Elephas maximus indicus: one gene and its partner. The protein of the gene in region 1 purifies or fractionates together with the protein of each later gene. This does not show direct contact. Links are inferred from orthologs where the notes say so. Each region holds a gene or a part of one and is shown in the gene's direction. Other genes may lie near its edges.

Region 1 (8,209 bases):
TTACCTTTCATTAGAAAATAATTCTATTAGGAAGTGGAAGAAAAGAAACAATTTGGTCTCTTTTTTTTTTTTTTTCTTCTCGCACTCCTTTTTTTAATGATTTATATTCTAAATAGGCAATACCCACACATGGTACAAAGTTCAAAAGATCCAAGACAGCAGACAGACACCTCTTCATCTCTGTCCTCCAGCCACTGAGTCCTTTATAGGAATACAGTCACTACTACAGTTCTTAGTCAGTCCTTCCAGAGCCATTTTAGACACACACAGCAAGTAACTGTACATTTATCTATCACTGTTTTGCACCTTGCTTTTTAAATTTAGTATACCTTTGAGAGCCTTCCACATAAATACACTTAAAAAAACCTCTGCTTATTAATAGATACATACTATTCCACTCTATGAATATATCATGATTAAAAAAAAAAAAAAGGCATCTCCTTATGGACATTTAGAAGGTTACTAATATTTTCTACCACATTTGATGCTGCATATGTGAGCGTATTTGTAGGATAAATTTCTAGAAACAGAATTGTAGGATTAGAAGGTAGTGATATATTTCGCCAAAATGCTTTCGATAAACGTTATACCAATTTTCACTTCGCTAGCAACCTATAAGAATGCTTGTTTTTATATATCCTGCCAACAGTGTTTTCTTTCCTGAGGTGCTAAGATGGAGAGTAAAGGAAACCCTTAAAGTAAATGTGGCCTCATCTACTGTTCTACAGGTCTAATCTGTAGATAAGAACTTTCATTTTTGCATCAAGTTAACACAGGTGGTACTGTAGACTTCTTCCCCCTCCTCAGGCAGGCTGGTACTGGGGCACTTATCAGTGGTCATACCCAATATTGTCTTGAATGTTAGAAGGCTTAGTGAGTCTTCGGAATCATTTCTACTTTGCCCTAAAGGGGAAGACACCCAATTCATTCCACAAATACCGAGTACCTACTATGATGCCTAGCATTGCTCTTGTGGCCAAGGCTTGAACACTGAACAAAAGAGATAAAAATCCCTGCCCTCAGTAAGATTACACAATAGCAGAAGACAGTAAACACAATACACAAGTAGGATATATGGTGTGTTAGTTTATAAATTCCATGCGAAAAATAATGGAATAGGTAAGATGTGGAGTACAGGGAGTCACTTTTTTGAAGGGTGGTCAGGGAAGGTCTCACTGAGACAAGGTGACATTTGCAGTAAAGGCAGTGAGGGAATAAGCCATAAGGTGTCTGAGGGACAAACATTTTGGAAAGAGCAAAGGCCTAGAGTTGAGAGTGTGTTCCTGTGTCCCAAGAACAGCAAGAAAGCCACAGGGTCACAGTTCAGTGAGCAAGGGGGAGAAGAGGAGAAGGTGAGGTCAGAGGTCAGGGGCTTTTGGTAGCAGGCCAGATCTTGAAGTACCTCTTAGTGAAATGAGGAAAGCATTGGAACCTTCTGAGCACAGGGCCACTCTGAGTACTCTGTGAGAAGAGGCTATGGGGAGGCAAGAATGGAAGAAAGGGGAGCAGTTTGGAGACTTCCTGAATTCAGGTGAGAATGAGATGGCTTGGACCAGGCTGGTAGCCATGGAGGTGGGAAAGTGCTTGGGTTGTGCCTATATTTTGAACATGGAACCAGCATGATTTTCTGTGAGACTGGAGGTTAGGTGTATGAAAAAAAAAAAAAAAAAAAACACAAGAACATACCAAGCTTCTTGGCTTAAGTATGTGGAAGGATGGAGTTGGCATTTACTGAGATGGGCGAAGACTATAGACTGACCATGTTTTAGAGCAGAGTTTTAGGTTGAAGTTCTGATTAGACTTTACCCTAAGGAATTGTGATTAGACTTACGGTTACCATTATTTTCCAAGGATGCTGAAGCTCTCAGATGGCCATGGTTCCAAAACAGATCAGTGGCCTGGACTAGACCAAAATGGAAATGGCTTCATGAAAGGAAGGCTCCAAGGAATATGTGCCCAAAGGTCATTGTCCTCCTCCTGAGCTATTCTCTTTCAAATCAGACTTACTTTGAGATATTATATTAAATTCTTTTGTATTTTTTCTTCTTCTGTGTTAAATATATAATAACAAAAACCCATTGCTGTCAATTCTGACTCATAGAGACCCTATGTAATCAAAAGATACAGGCAAGTACAACACACACACACACACACACACCCCTAACAACCATGAAAACAGCACAAACAAAAATTTAATTTCCTGCCCATTGATCTAGGAAATAATATTGGAGTCATTATTCCCTATCCTTGAGCATAGAGAATGTGACCCAGCTGCAGCTGGGCCCACAAGGACTCACAAGGACACATCAACTGAACCCTGAGGTATAAAGACAACAGATAATCTTGGAAAAGATCTTCTAGGGAATCTTTCACTTAAGCCAGAACACAAAAGACGTTCCACTCTTATCTTTTTCTATTAGCATTTAGTGAAGAGAAAATTTGTTGGACCAGTGAAGACCTTCCTTACCGTCTTTACTGAAACCTGTACCAATGATTGTTGAGAGGGACAATTCAAAATGTCGGATCATAGTTTCTAGCCAATCTGTAAAAAGGTGAAGCTTTCAATGGTTTTGTCCATTTATAGTGTTAATATATACTAACGACTCTGTAATGTTCTTTGGACTTGGGCAGACATGGCTGTGGTAGTATGCTTGTCCCTTTTCCCACCTTTGTCTGTTCTATATTTCCTTGGTTTGGGGCAGACAGTAGCTCCGGCAGCATGCTTGTCCACTTCCCACTTTTGCCTTTTTGAATATATGCCAAATAAAACTTTCTTTTTACTTTACTCAACTTTATTATGTGTTTTCTCCTATAACACCATTATACAACCAGCAGAACTTGAGCTCCTGCTAGAGGGCTCACTGTCCTCCAGGAATCAAAATTCAATTCTACATTTGCTGGCCAACAATATGTTCCCAGCAAGACACCAGTTCCTGGACAATGGTAGGCTAGGCTAGGCTGGTACAGAAACCATACTAAGGCCAGTCTGAAGTGAGCCTGACTGAGAAACGCAATCAGGAACTCACTGAACAAAATAAAAAATCCAAAAGAAAGGGACGGACTTAAAACAGTGGTCACTAAGGGATCTGACGAAAGGATACCTAAAATGGAATGAGTCTTTCAACAAAAAACATGGAAAGGGGAAGGAAAGCAAAACCAAAATTATGTCATATTAGTGGGGAGGAAGAAAAAAAAAGAACAGAAACTGATATATAGGGACTATTTCAAAAGGCTAGGAAGAGATTGAGGAGGGGATGATCTAAAAAAAAAGAAAAATCGTGTCCTTGAATGGGAAGCAGAATCTATACAAAGCAACAATGAGAGAGCGCAGAGAGCAACATGTATTTATTTTTTTCTACCTAACTCACAAGCCCCAGGGTAGATGAGAATCCAGACTTGTTTTAATGCAAGTGAAGTGGAGGCCCGGCTAGGTGACTCAGAGGTATGACTCAAATCCGACACTGGGGGCTGTCCGTCAGCTCCGGAGGCGGGGACCGCAGTGTCTAACACGTTGTAGGAAAGTACCAGACTCGTGAAAGGAGACAGGAAACCTCCCCGGGAGATCGGCCTGGGGTTCCTCCTGCCCTGTAGTCTGACCTCTTATCCCTCTGCACCGAGAGCAGTTCCTAAACTCCTTGTTTCCTCTTCTTCCCTAAGAGGCCCCATGCCCCCACCCTTTATTGCATGCAGAGTCAAGGAACCTGCAAGTGTGTGCGAGACGTCGGGCCTCCCACCCAGCCGCTCTCCGCCCTGCGCGGCCTGCCACGCGCCCACCTGCCCCGCCTCCGCGGCGAGCCGCTCCCTTCCCACCCCACCTGCGCTCGCCGCCAGCCGCCCGGGCACGCGCGGCACGAACAGCGCCCGGAGCGGCAAAAGACAAACACCTGTCCAGCCTGCGCTCCGCGAGATTTGGGGCTCAAGCATAGGCAACAGAGGGCGCGTTCTCGCGAGGTTTAGGAAATTTCCCACGGCCCGTGTTGTGTCTGAGCGGAGTAGTGGAAGGCGGTGGGAAGGAGGTGTAGCGTGAGACTGAACTGCCTGCATTGGGCACATGCGCACTGCCTCTCGCGTGTGCCGCGCCAATCCTGCAGCGCCTTCAGCAGGTTTCGGCCGGAGGATTCCAGTTCTCCGGGTTTTGGGGTTCCCTGCGGGAGGCAGAGCAGGATCTGGGAATCTCTAGGAAAGGAAAGGGCGAGGGTGGGGTAGGAGGGCGGCAGGGAGGGCGGGCGGGGTCCAGGCCCTGCACCTTTCTATTAAATGCCCAGACCCGCCAAGTTGGCTTAGGGGGAGTCGTCCGGATTTAAACCCCTTGAAGTACGTGTCAGGCAGCGGTGGGGTCTTTGGCTGTGCCAGGCCCCGGGGAGGCCCGGTGCTCTGTGCAGAGTCGGCCCCCTATTGACCTGGGGTCACTCACGGCTGCTGCTCACGCCGACGGCAGCCAGCTTTGAGCCGGCCCTCTGGCCGGGCTGGGTGGTGGCGGCTCTCAATTCCATCATAGTTTTCACTTCTGGAGAAAACTACTCGACATTCTGGCGTGTGCGTGTGAGGTGGATGCCTTTGCCAGAGGCCTTGACCTGGCCTCATTTCGCACCCAAGGAGAAAGAAGCTAAGGCGACAGGGCTCAACTGCAAAAGTTTTCCGTGTGCAGAGCTCTGTAGGGTCGGACCATGTTGTAACGTTCGTCTCCCATTAGTCTGGGTGTCGAATGAATGAAGAAGGTTCCTCGTATGCCACTCGCCCTAAGCCCAGGCGTTTTAGTAGCTCCAGCATCTAACGCTGAGACCAGCATAAAGGAGGCGTCCAATGAACGTTTGAATGAATGAAAGAGGCTGGGAACCCAGAGTGAGCGGGAAGCTACTTGGAAAACACCCATTTGAGGAGGTGTTTCATCTAGGCCTGTGGAACGCGGCAGATTTTCCCAGGACCCCTCCTCCCTTCCCCTTGGCCCCGCCCCCTGACCCCTCCATTCCCCGTCCCAGTTGTAATCCCCTCCAGTTTTCCTCAGTCTCCACGTACGTCCCTCAGGGTGCGTCCCAAAACCCGGATAACCGGAGCGCTCCCCATGGACCACACGGAGGGCTCGCCCGCGGGGCAGCCGCCTGCGCATGCTCCATCGCTTGGGTAGGTTTCCAGGGACGGCAGCAAGCAGGATCCCCTACTCGGCAGGCGGCGCGAGGCGTCTGGCTCTTCGCGGCGGCTGCGAGGGGAAGAAGAGCGAGGGGGCTGGGTGGACTCGAGGAGTGAGGAAAAAGGGAAGGGCGGGGGAGAGGGACCAGGGAAGGCGTCGGGGGGAATCTCGCGAGGGTTGGAGTTTTGGCGAGAGTTTGTGGAAGATGGCGCCTGTTGTGACAGGGTAAGTCTGAGGGAATCTGAGCGCTGGGCACGGGGAAAGTTGCGGCCGTCTCGCAGCCGGCGGCGGGCGGCGGGTTCGGGGGCCGCGGTGCGCTCGGTGTCGGGGGGCAGCGGGGGCGGTGTCGCGTGCGCCGAGCGCGGTGGCGGCGTGTGGCCGTGCGCTGTCCACTCTGCGCCGCCGTGGCTCGGGCTCCAGCGCGAGAGGGCGGGCGGCGGCGACTGGGAGGCCGGCGGGTGCGGGCGTGAGTGCTGCCGAGCGCGCGGGGCCCTCGGGCGCTGTGTCCGCCGCGCGCCGCCCGTGCGGCTGGCGCCGCCCGCGGGCCCTGCCTCCCGGCCCCGCGCAGCTTTGTTCCTCCCGGCCGCCGTCGCCTCCTCGCCCGCCGGGTGCTCCGGTCCCGGGCGCTTTGTCTTTACTCGCTGCCCCCCGCGATTTTCTACCCCCAGCTCTTTGTTTCACCGCCTTGGGCGCTTTGTCTGACCCGTCGCGCCCCGCATCCCTTCTCCCATCTCCTCTCCTCCGCTGCCCTTCCTCTCGTGCCCCTTTGTTTTGCCCCCCTCTGCTCGGCAGCCCAGTGACCTGGCACAGCCCAGGTAGCAAATTTTTGTCTTTTAATTTTTCTTCCATTGTTTTTCTCATTCGTTTCTTCTCCAGCCTTTCTGTTTGGTCCTTGATCACCCCCATAGGCTTTGTCTCCCCCATCCAGTGGCTGCTTTTCTTCGTTCGGCACCCCCCCCTTCGGTCATTTATCCGCTACCCATGGTGTCTGTCTCCTCAACTGTCTCAGTCCCGGGGACTCCATCTGGTGTTTCTACGTGCAAATCCTACGGTTTGTTGTTTTTGTGGATCTGAATGATGCGCGAAGATATTTCGTTTCTTTCTCGGCATCCCTCCTCTCCCCCGCACCCCTTTCTCTTGGGGTTACGGCGTCTCCAGTTTTCTTCGCTGTCCCTCTGGGCCCGTGATTGTTTTGCTTGGAAACAGTAGCCCTGGAAAAAGATAGGGTCTCTTGGTGGTTGTTGCCCCCACCTCTTGGTTTCTGACGGTCTGGGCCAAGGGCAGCTGTCTGTAGCTTTGCATCTGGTTACCTGTGGTTGGGCGAAGGCTATTGTAGTACGTTTAGAGGGAGACATATTATTTGAGACTCGTTTCGGATACCCACATTGTATATTCATTTGGTGTGCGAGTAGGAGTTAGGTGAATTTTGATGTTAAAACTTGTGAATGTTGAGATGGAGAATTTCAGTATTCTTTAGAATCTAGATCTAGAGTCTAGTTATTTTGCCAATAACTCCTTTGTAAGGAAAAGGGAGGCATTCTGCTTGGGAATTGATTTGATACACATATTTTAGTTTTTTTTTTGTTATTGTTGATTATTAGATATAAATTACACTTGTTTGCTTTTGCTCTGTAGATTTGTGACAACTCTCCTGTCCTTTGGGGTTGAAATGAGGAAAACGCTTAAGAGTGCAGTTTCTAGCTGGTGAATAATGCTTCTTCGGTCTTTGTGGACTATGTCAAATCAGATGTGATTAAAAGATACATAAGGAGTAGCCTGAAATAAAGTCACCTTAAAGGCAGTTACATTCACTTCCTAAATACTATTAGATTGTTCTAAATTGTTGTTGTTATGGAGTTGTGTGTGGGGGCGGTGGCATTTTAATGGCCTGAGTTATTCTGGTGTTTGGACTATGAAATGTTAGACTTACCAGGATTACTGCACAGAATATAATGGTTAAGAGTTTCCTCCTCCCCCACTAGTTGGTCAGTACTTTTAGAAGATGTGGTAACCATAAAATCATTTTGAGGCAGTGATTTCATTTGTAAACTAAAGCCCCCGTAAAGTGCTATTGATAGGAGATTTACAAGATCTGATATGCAAATATTGATTGGTACATTAGAAAGCATATTTTTTGTCTGAAGACTTTGATTGGGATTAGTAGTTGAATTAATTAATGGAAAAAGCATAGTTTCATGATTGACACATGAGGTTTTGTGAAAATTTGCGGTTTGGGTTCCATGAGTGGAATTACTACTTGTTTCCCTTATTTGTCCTTAAATAGTGCATCATCAGGCTTTTGAAGGTAAATCTTGAGCACACACTGTTGACTCTGACTGTAAGCAAAATGTAAATATCATGTAATAATGTAAGGCATTTGCCTTGATTTCTACACGTGAGAATGATCACGCAAACATCTTATAAAGTTTTTTCAATTAAGACTTGTGTATTCTGTTTCTAAATCGTATACTGTTTCTTGATGTAAGACCTTTATCTCATGACCAAAATAAGAAGTGCCTTTATTAAATTATATCCGGAATAGCACATTTAGAAGTATACAGGTTGAATAGTGGTTGGGAAAGTTATATTCTGAGTATTGATTGTTAAATTTTTTAACTTATTGTTCATGCATATTGCAGATAAGTCTGCGGGGAATATATTTCGGGGAAAAATATAAGCAGTTCACTTGCAGTATTTTCAGAACATTCAGATGTGCGCTTTTAGGCATTTGAATTTAAGCAGTTGCGTTTGTTACAAAGTTACCTGTTGCTCTGTATCAGTCTATTATTGTCTTTTAAGCGGCTAAGATTAAAAAAAAAATGGTTTGAGTAAAAAGCCACTCCTGCCAGATGTAACTCGTTAAATAATCTTTCTAACCCTGAATGGGTAGGATATTAGAAAAAAATTTTGTTTGAGAGTTTTTAAACCCCAAACCCAGTGCCGTCTTACATATCATAATTCTGGTGTTTGGTCATTTTAAAAATAAGACATAGGACTTGGATTCAAAACATTATTTTTATTTTGCTTCCTTCTAATACTAAACTTCATGTTATTTCAACTAGGGGCAGTGTTTTCTCATGA
Region 2 (7,388 bases), on another chromosome or scaffold:
GCCATCTTTCAAAGGCATATACGAGGAATTTATGGATACAATGGCCTGGTGTCTGCAATCAGCTCTGCAATCACCCAGGGGTGGGGAGTATATGCATGAGACAAGGCTGACTGTTACAGCCTGCTGAAGCTGGGTAATGGGTACCTGGAGACTCACTGTACTGTGCTAGGTTCTTTTTTAATTATGTTTGAAATTTTCTAAATATTTTTAAAAAACGTGTTAAGGACAAGGTGCAGGTGTGGGTGCTGAGAAGTGAGACACATGGGAGAGGAGGCAGCCTTTGGAGACTAAATATGACTCAAGAGTGTGGAGATGGGAGGATACTGGAAAAGCTTGGAGACAGGAAAGCACCACAGCCTTAGCTACACTTTTTGGTCAATTTTTCATCTTTGCTGTTCGGAATGGCAAAATATTGCCATACGTAGATGTTACTTGTTTTTCTTTGATTTCTGATGAAGCTTAGCACACTTTGCAGTTTATCAATTGGCCATCTAAGATTCCTTTTGTGAACTGTCTATTCATTTCCTTCTCCCATTTCTCTACCAGGGTATCTGTCTTTTTCTTATTGATTTGAAAGAACTCTTTGTATATGAGGGATACCAACCCTTTGTCCCATAGGTTACAAATACGGCATTTATTTTAATTTGTTTATAGTGTTTTTTGGCCAAATGCATGCTTAGTTTAAAAAAAAAAGTGAGACTAAGTAGTGCCCACACTTATAAGGCCTTCTTTTCCCTCCTAAGATCATAAAAATATTCACTTTGACATTCAAATCTTTGCTCCAGCTGCTACTGATCTGTAAAGAGCAAGGCAGAAGGATCAGCTTTATTTCCAAAGAGCTGGCCTGGTGTTCCAACACCACTGCCCAACTAATCCACTTTGCCCCTTGGTGTGAAATGCAGTTTTGTCGTGCACTAAATCCCCAAATGTCTTTGCCTGTTCCTGCACTGGCATTGCCTTTTCCAAGTCCTGCTCTGACTGTTCTCCTACGTGTCAGGCCCTGAATGCCTAGAGACCATGTCTGCTGCCTCAGCCACTCACCACAGTGCTGGGCCCAGCGCAGACATCAGTAATCGAGTGCAGAGGCTATGATGACCCCTGTTACTGCTTCCCTAAGGCCCCCGGATGCCTGGCTAACCCACCCATAGACTGGAAGCCTCCTGATTTCTTCTTCTTCTTGTTCTGTGCTCGCACCATCTCCCGGGTGTCTGGCTCCACATCCGAGGTGCATTCTGAGGTGGGGAAGGTGGGCAGCGGTCTGCCAGGGCCCAGCTGGAAGGGAAGAACAGAGGCAGCATCACTCTAGGCGCTGGGGGCAGGAGAAGAGACTGTCCTGTTGCCAGTTTCTCCCTGATTCAAACCAATTATCCTCACAAATCACATGATTTCTCTGCTAACTGTCTCTCCTGTGCCTGGGCCAGGACAAGCCAGAGGTTCAGAACGTGGACTCTGGAGACACGCTGCCTGGGTTTGAATCCCAGTTCTGTAACTTACCAGCTGTGAGACCTCAAGCAAGTGACTTAATCTCCCTGAGCCTCAGTTTCCACATCGGAAAATAGGGATAACAAGAGCATCTGCCTCACTGAGTTGTTGTGAAGATTAAATGGGTAAGTGGAAAACTTAGAGTAGGGTCCAGCACACAGCTGGTAGTACTATCATCAACATCATCACCATCGCCCTGGCCTGTCATTCAGAGCTCTCGAAATTAAAACCTGTAAGAAGTCAATGAAAACACCTACTTTGTATAAGGTACTACTCTTCCAAGCTGTGCTGGCCCCCTCCCCAATCTCCTTTCTGACTCACCCCACCCCAACTCTGGCCTCTGTCTCCCCTGACCTTCTCTCTGCCTGTCCAGGTTCCACTTGTCCTTTAAGCTGAATCCAACCGGATGCCGCCTCTGCGGAGCCTTCTCAGACTATAAGGCTGATCCCTTTCCTCTCAGAAACATTTATGGAGCACTAATTAATAATAAGCTTAAACTGACACTACACTTACGATACGTCAGGTGCCTCTCTGAACAGTCACATAAATTAACCCACTTACTCCTCATCACAGCCCTGGGAGGGCTGTGAGATAGACACTATTATTATGTCCATTTCACAGAGAAGGGAACAGAGGCTCAGAAAGGGGAAGTGACCTGCCCAAGGTCATACGGCCAGCAAGTGGGGTTCAGGGGTTTGAATACTGGCTTCAGGGTCTATGTTCTTTCCACTATGATTCTCTAGGTCAAGGCTGCAGCCTGTTTTGTACAGCCTGTGAGCTAGGAATGGTTTCTACATTTCTTAAAAGACTGAAAAATTCAAACAAAAAAGGCAGAGACTAACTGGCCCACATGCCTGAACTATTTACCACCACACCCTTTTATAGGAAAAATTTACAACCCCTGCTCTAGATAGGAACCCTGGTGAAACAGTAGTTAAGAGTTTGGCTGCCACCTACTTTCTGTTACAGCAGTACTAGATGACTAAGACAATAGGTTATATCTCTGGAGTCATGTTCTCGTTTGTCAAATAAACTGGTTTTCTTCGGGGGGGGGGCCGAAAGAGTTTAGCTGCTAACCAAAAGGTCAGCACTTCAAATCCACCAGCTGCTTCTTGGAAACCCTATGGGGCAGTTCTTCTCTGTCCTACAGGGTCACTGTGAGTTGGAATCGCAACTTGACAGCAACATGTTTGGTTTGAGTTTCTTGCTCTAGGTACACAAAAACAAAGTGGCAGGAACACATGATGTCCTAGCAATATTCACTGAAGGGATGCATAAACGTACATACCCTGTCATTTAATCCTTTCCACAGTCTTCGAGGCACATAAAATCACCTGCCTTCCATGGATGTGCAAACCGAGGCACAGAGAGGTTAAGCACCTTCTCCAATTTCCCACAAAAGGAGCCCTGGTGGCGCAATGGTTAAGCACTCGGCTGCTAACCAAAAGGTCAGTGGTTACCTGCCTTACTCACCAGCAACTCTGCAGGAGAAAAGACCTGGCGATCCGCTCCTGTAAAAATTACAACCTAGAAAACCCTATGGAACAGTTCTACCCTGTCACACGGGGTCATTACGCGTCGGAATTAACTCAACGGCACCCAACAACAACAACCAACGTCCCACAACCAGTACAAGGTTGGGGCAGATTTGAACGCAGGGCTGCGTCACGACAAAGCCATGGGTCTGAACGACTGTGTGAGCTCCTCTTCTTTGGCACTTACTACGATCTCTGCCCTCTTGTGCTGTTCAGTGCCTTCAGCACTTACAGAGCACCTACTGTGTGCCAGGCACCTGATGAGGCTGGGGTGGGGAAACGGTGGAACGAGGTCTCATCTGGCACCTGCTCTCAAGGAGTGCAGTCCTCCTCTGCATGTGAGTCAGAATCCACCCGATGGCACAAAACAACAACATGCCACTCACAAACTGTGAGGTCTTGGTCAACTTGTTTCACCCCTCTAGGTCTCAGTCTCCTCGTCAGGAAAATGGGGATCCCAGTACTTAGATGACCGAATTGGTGTGAGGATTGAATAAGGCAAGTAAAAAGCTCTTAGCACGGGGTCCGGCACGTGGTAAGCGCTCAACAAGCGCCAAGTTTCATTTATTATTAGTTTTCCAGGAGATGTAGGGGCGTGAGTCTCTCAGCCCTCTCCCTACAGCAACCTCCCAAGAATCCCCCAAACTCACAAAGTCAGACCTTCACCCGCACTTTTCATTGGACGAATGGAGGCTAGGACTCGCCCCCTGGGCAGAAGGTAGCCAATGAGGTAGCGCGCTATCAGAAGCCAGGCTGCAACGCCTGCAGGCACCGCACGGGCCACCGGAACCGGGAGTCTCCAGCCCCGGCAAACCCCGAGACCCATGCTCAGGCCGCCGGGCAGGCGGACCCGACCCCTACCCTCAGCCGTGTCCACCCCACAGCGGGGAAACCGAGGCCGCGGCAGCACGGCTCTCAGCGCCCGGATCGCAAACGTGCCGGCCCCCCCGCGTATCCCAGCCCCGCACTCCCACCTTCCGGGCCCGGGAGTCATCTTCCGCCTGAATCTCAAACTCGCCGTCCTCCGAGTCGCTGCCGCGGGCCTGGGAGGCCGCGCCCCGGCGTTTGCGGAGCCCCTTCTTCTTCCGCCACTGGGCCATGGCCGCGCGGGACCGGGATCCGGCCGCGGGACGCGTGCCGGCCGCCATGCGGGCCCGGCGGACGGAGACGGAAGGGGGCGGAGCCTGCGGGCCGCACCAACTGCGTGGCCGGGCGGGGGGAGCCCATTCCACGCCCCTGGCTGCGCCCCCGCCGCTTTTCGCAGCCCCGGAAGCCTGGCACGTAAACCCCCGCCCTGCCAGGGGACCGTCTCCTGCCTTTGGGAGGTCCCCGGGGGCGTCAGGAGCGGGGCGGCCGCCAGGCAGGAATGGTTCCAGCCGCCTCGGCCCCGCTGCGCAGTGGTTGTTGTTGGAAGCGCGCGCCGAGCACACGTCGCTAGGGCATGGCTGTCCCGGGTGAGTGCATCCGCGCTGGGGGCCGGGGCGGCCTGGGCTCCGGGATTCCCGGATGCGAACGAAGTGCGATCACAGATGCATAGGGCGCCCTGGGTGCTCGTGCGCCCCAGCAATGGGGTCCTGACTTGGTGGGGAGGGGGCGCTCGAGACGGGGGCTGGGGGCTGGCTGCCAGCCGAGATGCCCAGGTAAGAGAATAACTCAAGAATATAGAGAGCTTGGGCATTAACCAGGGAGCAGCGGGGAATCGGAGGAGTAAAACCAAAATACTAGAGAGGTTAAGTGCTCAGGCTCTCAATTCATACCAAAAAACCCCCACATCAAACGGGTTCATTGGATTCGGTCTCATGACAGTTACATATGTTACTGAATAGCACTGCTCCATAGGATCTTCTTGGCTCTAAACTTCATGGAAGCAGATTTCCAGGCCTGCCTTTTGTGGCACCTCTGGGTGGGTTCGAACTGCCAACCCTTCCATTAGTAGTCAAGCACAAACGATTTGCACCACCCAGGAACCACTCTCAATTCATAAAAGATTCAAATGTCCTTTCCATCACTTTCCAGGCGTTGCCTACACATCTGAGTTCACTTTTTGAAGGCTATTTTGTCATCTGTGAAATGAACATAATCGAAGCTGCTTCACTGGGCTGTTGAGAGCATTAAATGAGAGGATGGTTGACAACCACTTGGAAGGAGGTAAGTGGTCAATACTGGCGGTCAATAGTCCCACCCTCTTAAATATACACAGGGTATGTGAGTGCGGACCTGCCCTTCTCCCCCTCCTGCCATCCAAAAAAACAAAAACCAAACCCAGTGCCATCAAGTCGATATTGACTCATAGTGATCCTATGGAACAGGTTAGAACCGTGTCATAGAGTTTCCAAGGAGCGCCTGGCAGATTCGAACTGCCGACCCTTTGGTTTGTAGCCGAAGCACTTAACCACTACACCACCAGGGTTTCCCCTCCTGCCGTACCGTAGTGTGTTTCAAATGGACACAGACCCCATCATTCTTTCATCTTCCCAGTTGTTACATAAATTGAGAACCCACAGCATGCAGGCAAACTATTCGATTCATCTGTTTATTCACTCGTTCACTATTTGCCGGTAGCCCCACCCCACCATCACTGTGACAACTAGAAACACCCCCAACGAATTGCCAGAATGCCCCTGGGGTTGGCAACGCTCACTTTAGGAGGACTGGTTGAGGGAGAATTATACCCTTTTGCTAGCGGGACTCAGCCAGAGGAGTCAGTGGGATTCGGAGCTACCAGTCTCCCTCAGCAGCACTGCTGTTGACTTGGTACCATCCTCTTTCACAGGCAGCCCTGCAGGCAGGGCCTGGCACTCAGAGTGCACCCAGTGTAAGCCATGAGGACCCCCGTGGAGCTGGCCATCAACAGGATGCAGACCCTCCACCTTCAGCACCGCTCCCGGGGTGGCCACCGGCCCAAGGCCAGGGCGTCATACGTGGATGAGACTTTGTTTGGCAGCCCTGCGGGTACCCGACCCACCCCACCAGACTTCGACCCGCCCTGGGTGGAAAAGACCAGCAGAACCAGGGGGATGAGTATAGGGGCATTGCAGGCCTCGGGGGCCAACGAGAGCTATGAGAGCACCCCGCCCAGGGGCAGCACCCCTACCCTCACACCAAGAAAGAAGAACAAATACAGGTAGCGGGGTAGGGAGCTGTACTCTGTACTCAATGCAGCCATCTGCATTCCTGTGACAGACCTGCTGTGGGAACTGATTGGCCAGGCCGGGGGCACATGCTGGGGAATTGGGACAGGATGCACTGTGGTGCCAGGCTGGGGAACAGGGACTCTTGGGATCTGCAGGCAACCCTTCTGCTGTTGTGGGTGCTGGAGGGAGTGTTAAGGTTTTGGGGGTTGTTTCTCTCCCAGCTCACTGCATTTCTCTTCCCTCCACCAGATTGATCAGCCACACTCCATCTTACTGTGACGAGTCGCTGTTTGGCCCCCGACCTGGGGGCATTGGCTGGGAGGCCTCATGGATGGCAAAGGGCGATGCTGCAAAACTCCGTGCCCTCTTCTGGACACCCCCCGCTACTCCCAAGGGTAGCCACTCACCCCGGCCCAGGGAAACCCCGCTTCGAGCTGTCCACCCAGCCAGTCCCTCCAAAACAGAGCCCAGGGTGGCGGCACACTCCCAGATGCTACCCTTGGATGGGTTAGACACTCCAGACCCTCTGCGGCGGGGACGATCCCAGTCTCTCACCCACCTGAACGTTCCCAGTACTGTTCATCCATGTGCCAGCCCTCCCCGTGCCAATGGGCCTCGGGACCCCAGGTCTCCGCTGTCAGGGGTGACCTTCCGGAGCCCCCTGGTGACTCCCAGGGCTCACTCCATCAGTGTGTCAGTGCCAGCCACTCCCCGACGTGGTAGGGCCCCCCAGACACCAAAGCCCCCTTGGAAATGAGCTTCCTGGTCCTGGCATTGGGTTTGCCTGTGGGGTCATAGCGAAGGGCACGGCTTCAGAGTATAGCACTGATGGTGGCTTCTTCTGCCAGAGAGGCCCGCTAGCCTCTGGCCCCAGACTGGAGTCTCCCAAGTATGGGAGAAGCACCCAGGGGATGGTGAGGGAAAGCATGGTGGGCAGTACCTCCCTTCATTCTGACAATGTGTAGTTGCTTCCTGACGTGGATTGGGAGGCGGTCCTTGAGATGCCTCTCTTGTCTCAGCCATGCTCCATATCAGTGCCAACCCAGGTGCCCCCAGGGGAGGAACCCTTTCCCTCCCCCACCAAGCCTACAACGTGGTCTTGGTGCCAAGTGTGAATAAATGTGATTGCCAACTGGGACCAAAGGTTCCTTCCCCCACTTCAAGCCGAGCTTGCAGCTCAGGAGTCATTTCCAGCTGAGTCTAGAAGCCCCAGAGACTCCCAGGATAGTGGACATGG

The links.
Region 2: the proteins of RBPJ (region 1) and RITA1 purify together in Homo sapiens (affinity purification with mass spectrometry; 4 studies listed by BioGRID and IntAct, with this or other methods). This does not show direct contact. The link is inferred for Elephas maximus indicus from reciprocal best matches to the Homo sapiens genes RBPJ and RITA1.

What each region holds. Positions count from the first base shown.
Region 1 is NC_064823.1:136,632,378-136,640,586, reverse strand, and holds the start of RBPJ (recombining binding protein suppressor of hairless), read left to right. Parts: upstream 1-5,014; 5' UTR 5,015-5,062; coding exon 5,063-5,121; intron 5,122-5,281; exon of another isoform or gene 5,282-5,333; coding exon of another isoform or gene 5,334-5,353; intron 5,354-8,209. UniProt on the Homo sapiens protein: Transcriptional regulator that plays a central role in Notch signaling, a signaling pathway involved in cell-cell communication that regulates a broad spectrum of cell-fate determinations.
Region 2 is NC_064840.1:11,328,732-11,336,119, forward strand, and holds the start of RITA1 (RBPJ-interacting and tubulin-associated protein 1), read left to right. Parts: upstream 1-4,263; 5' UTR 4,264-4,471; intron 4,472-5,033; 5' UTR 5,034-5,165; intron 5,166-5,790; 5' UTR 5,791-5,839; coding exon 5,840-6,141; intron 6,142-6,400; coding exon 6,401-6,908; 3' UTR 6,909-7,388. Other genes in the region: ATP-dependent RNA helicase DDX54, read right to left, coding at 1,143-1,272, 3,992-4,165. UniProt on the Homo sapiens protein: Tubulin-binding protein that acts as a negative regulator of Notch signaling pathway.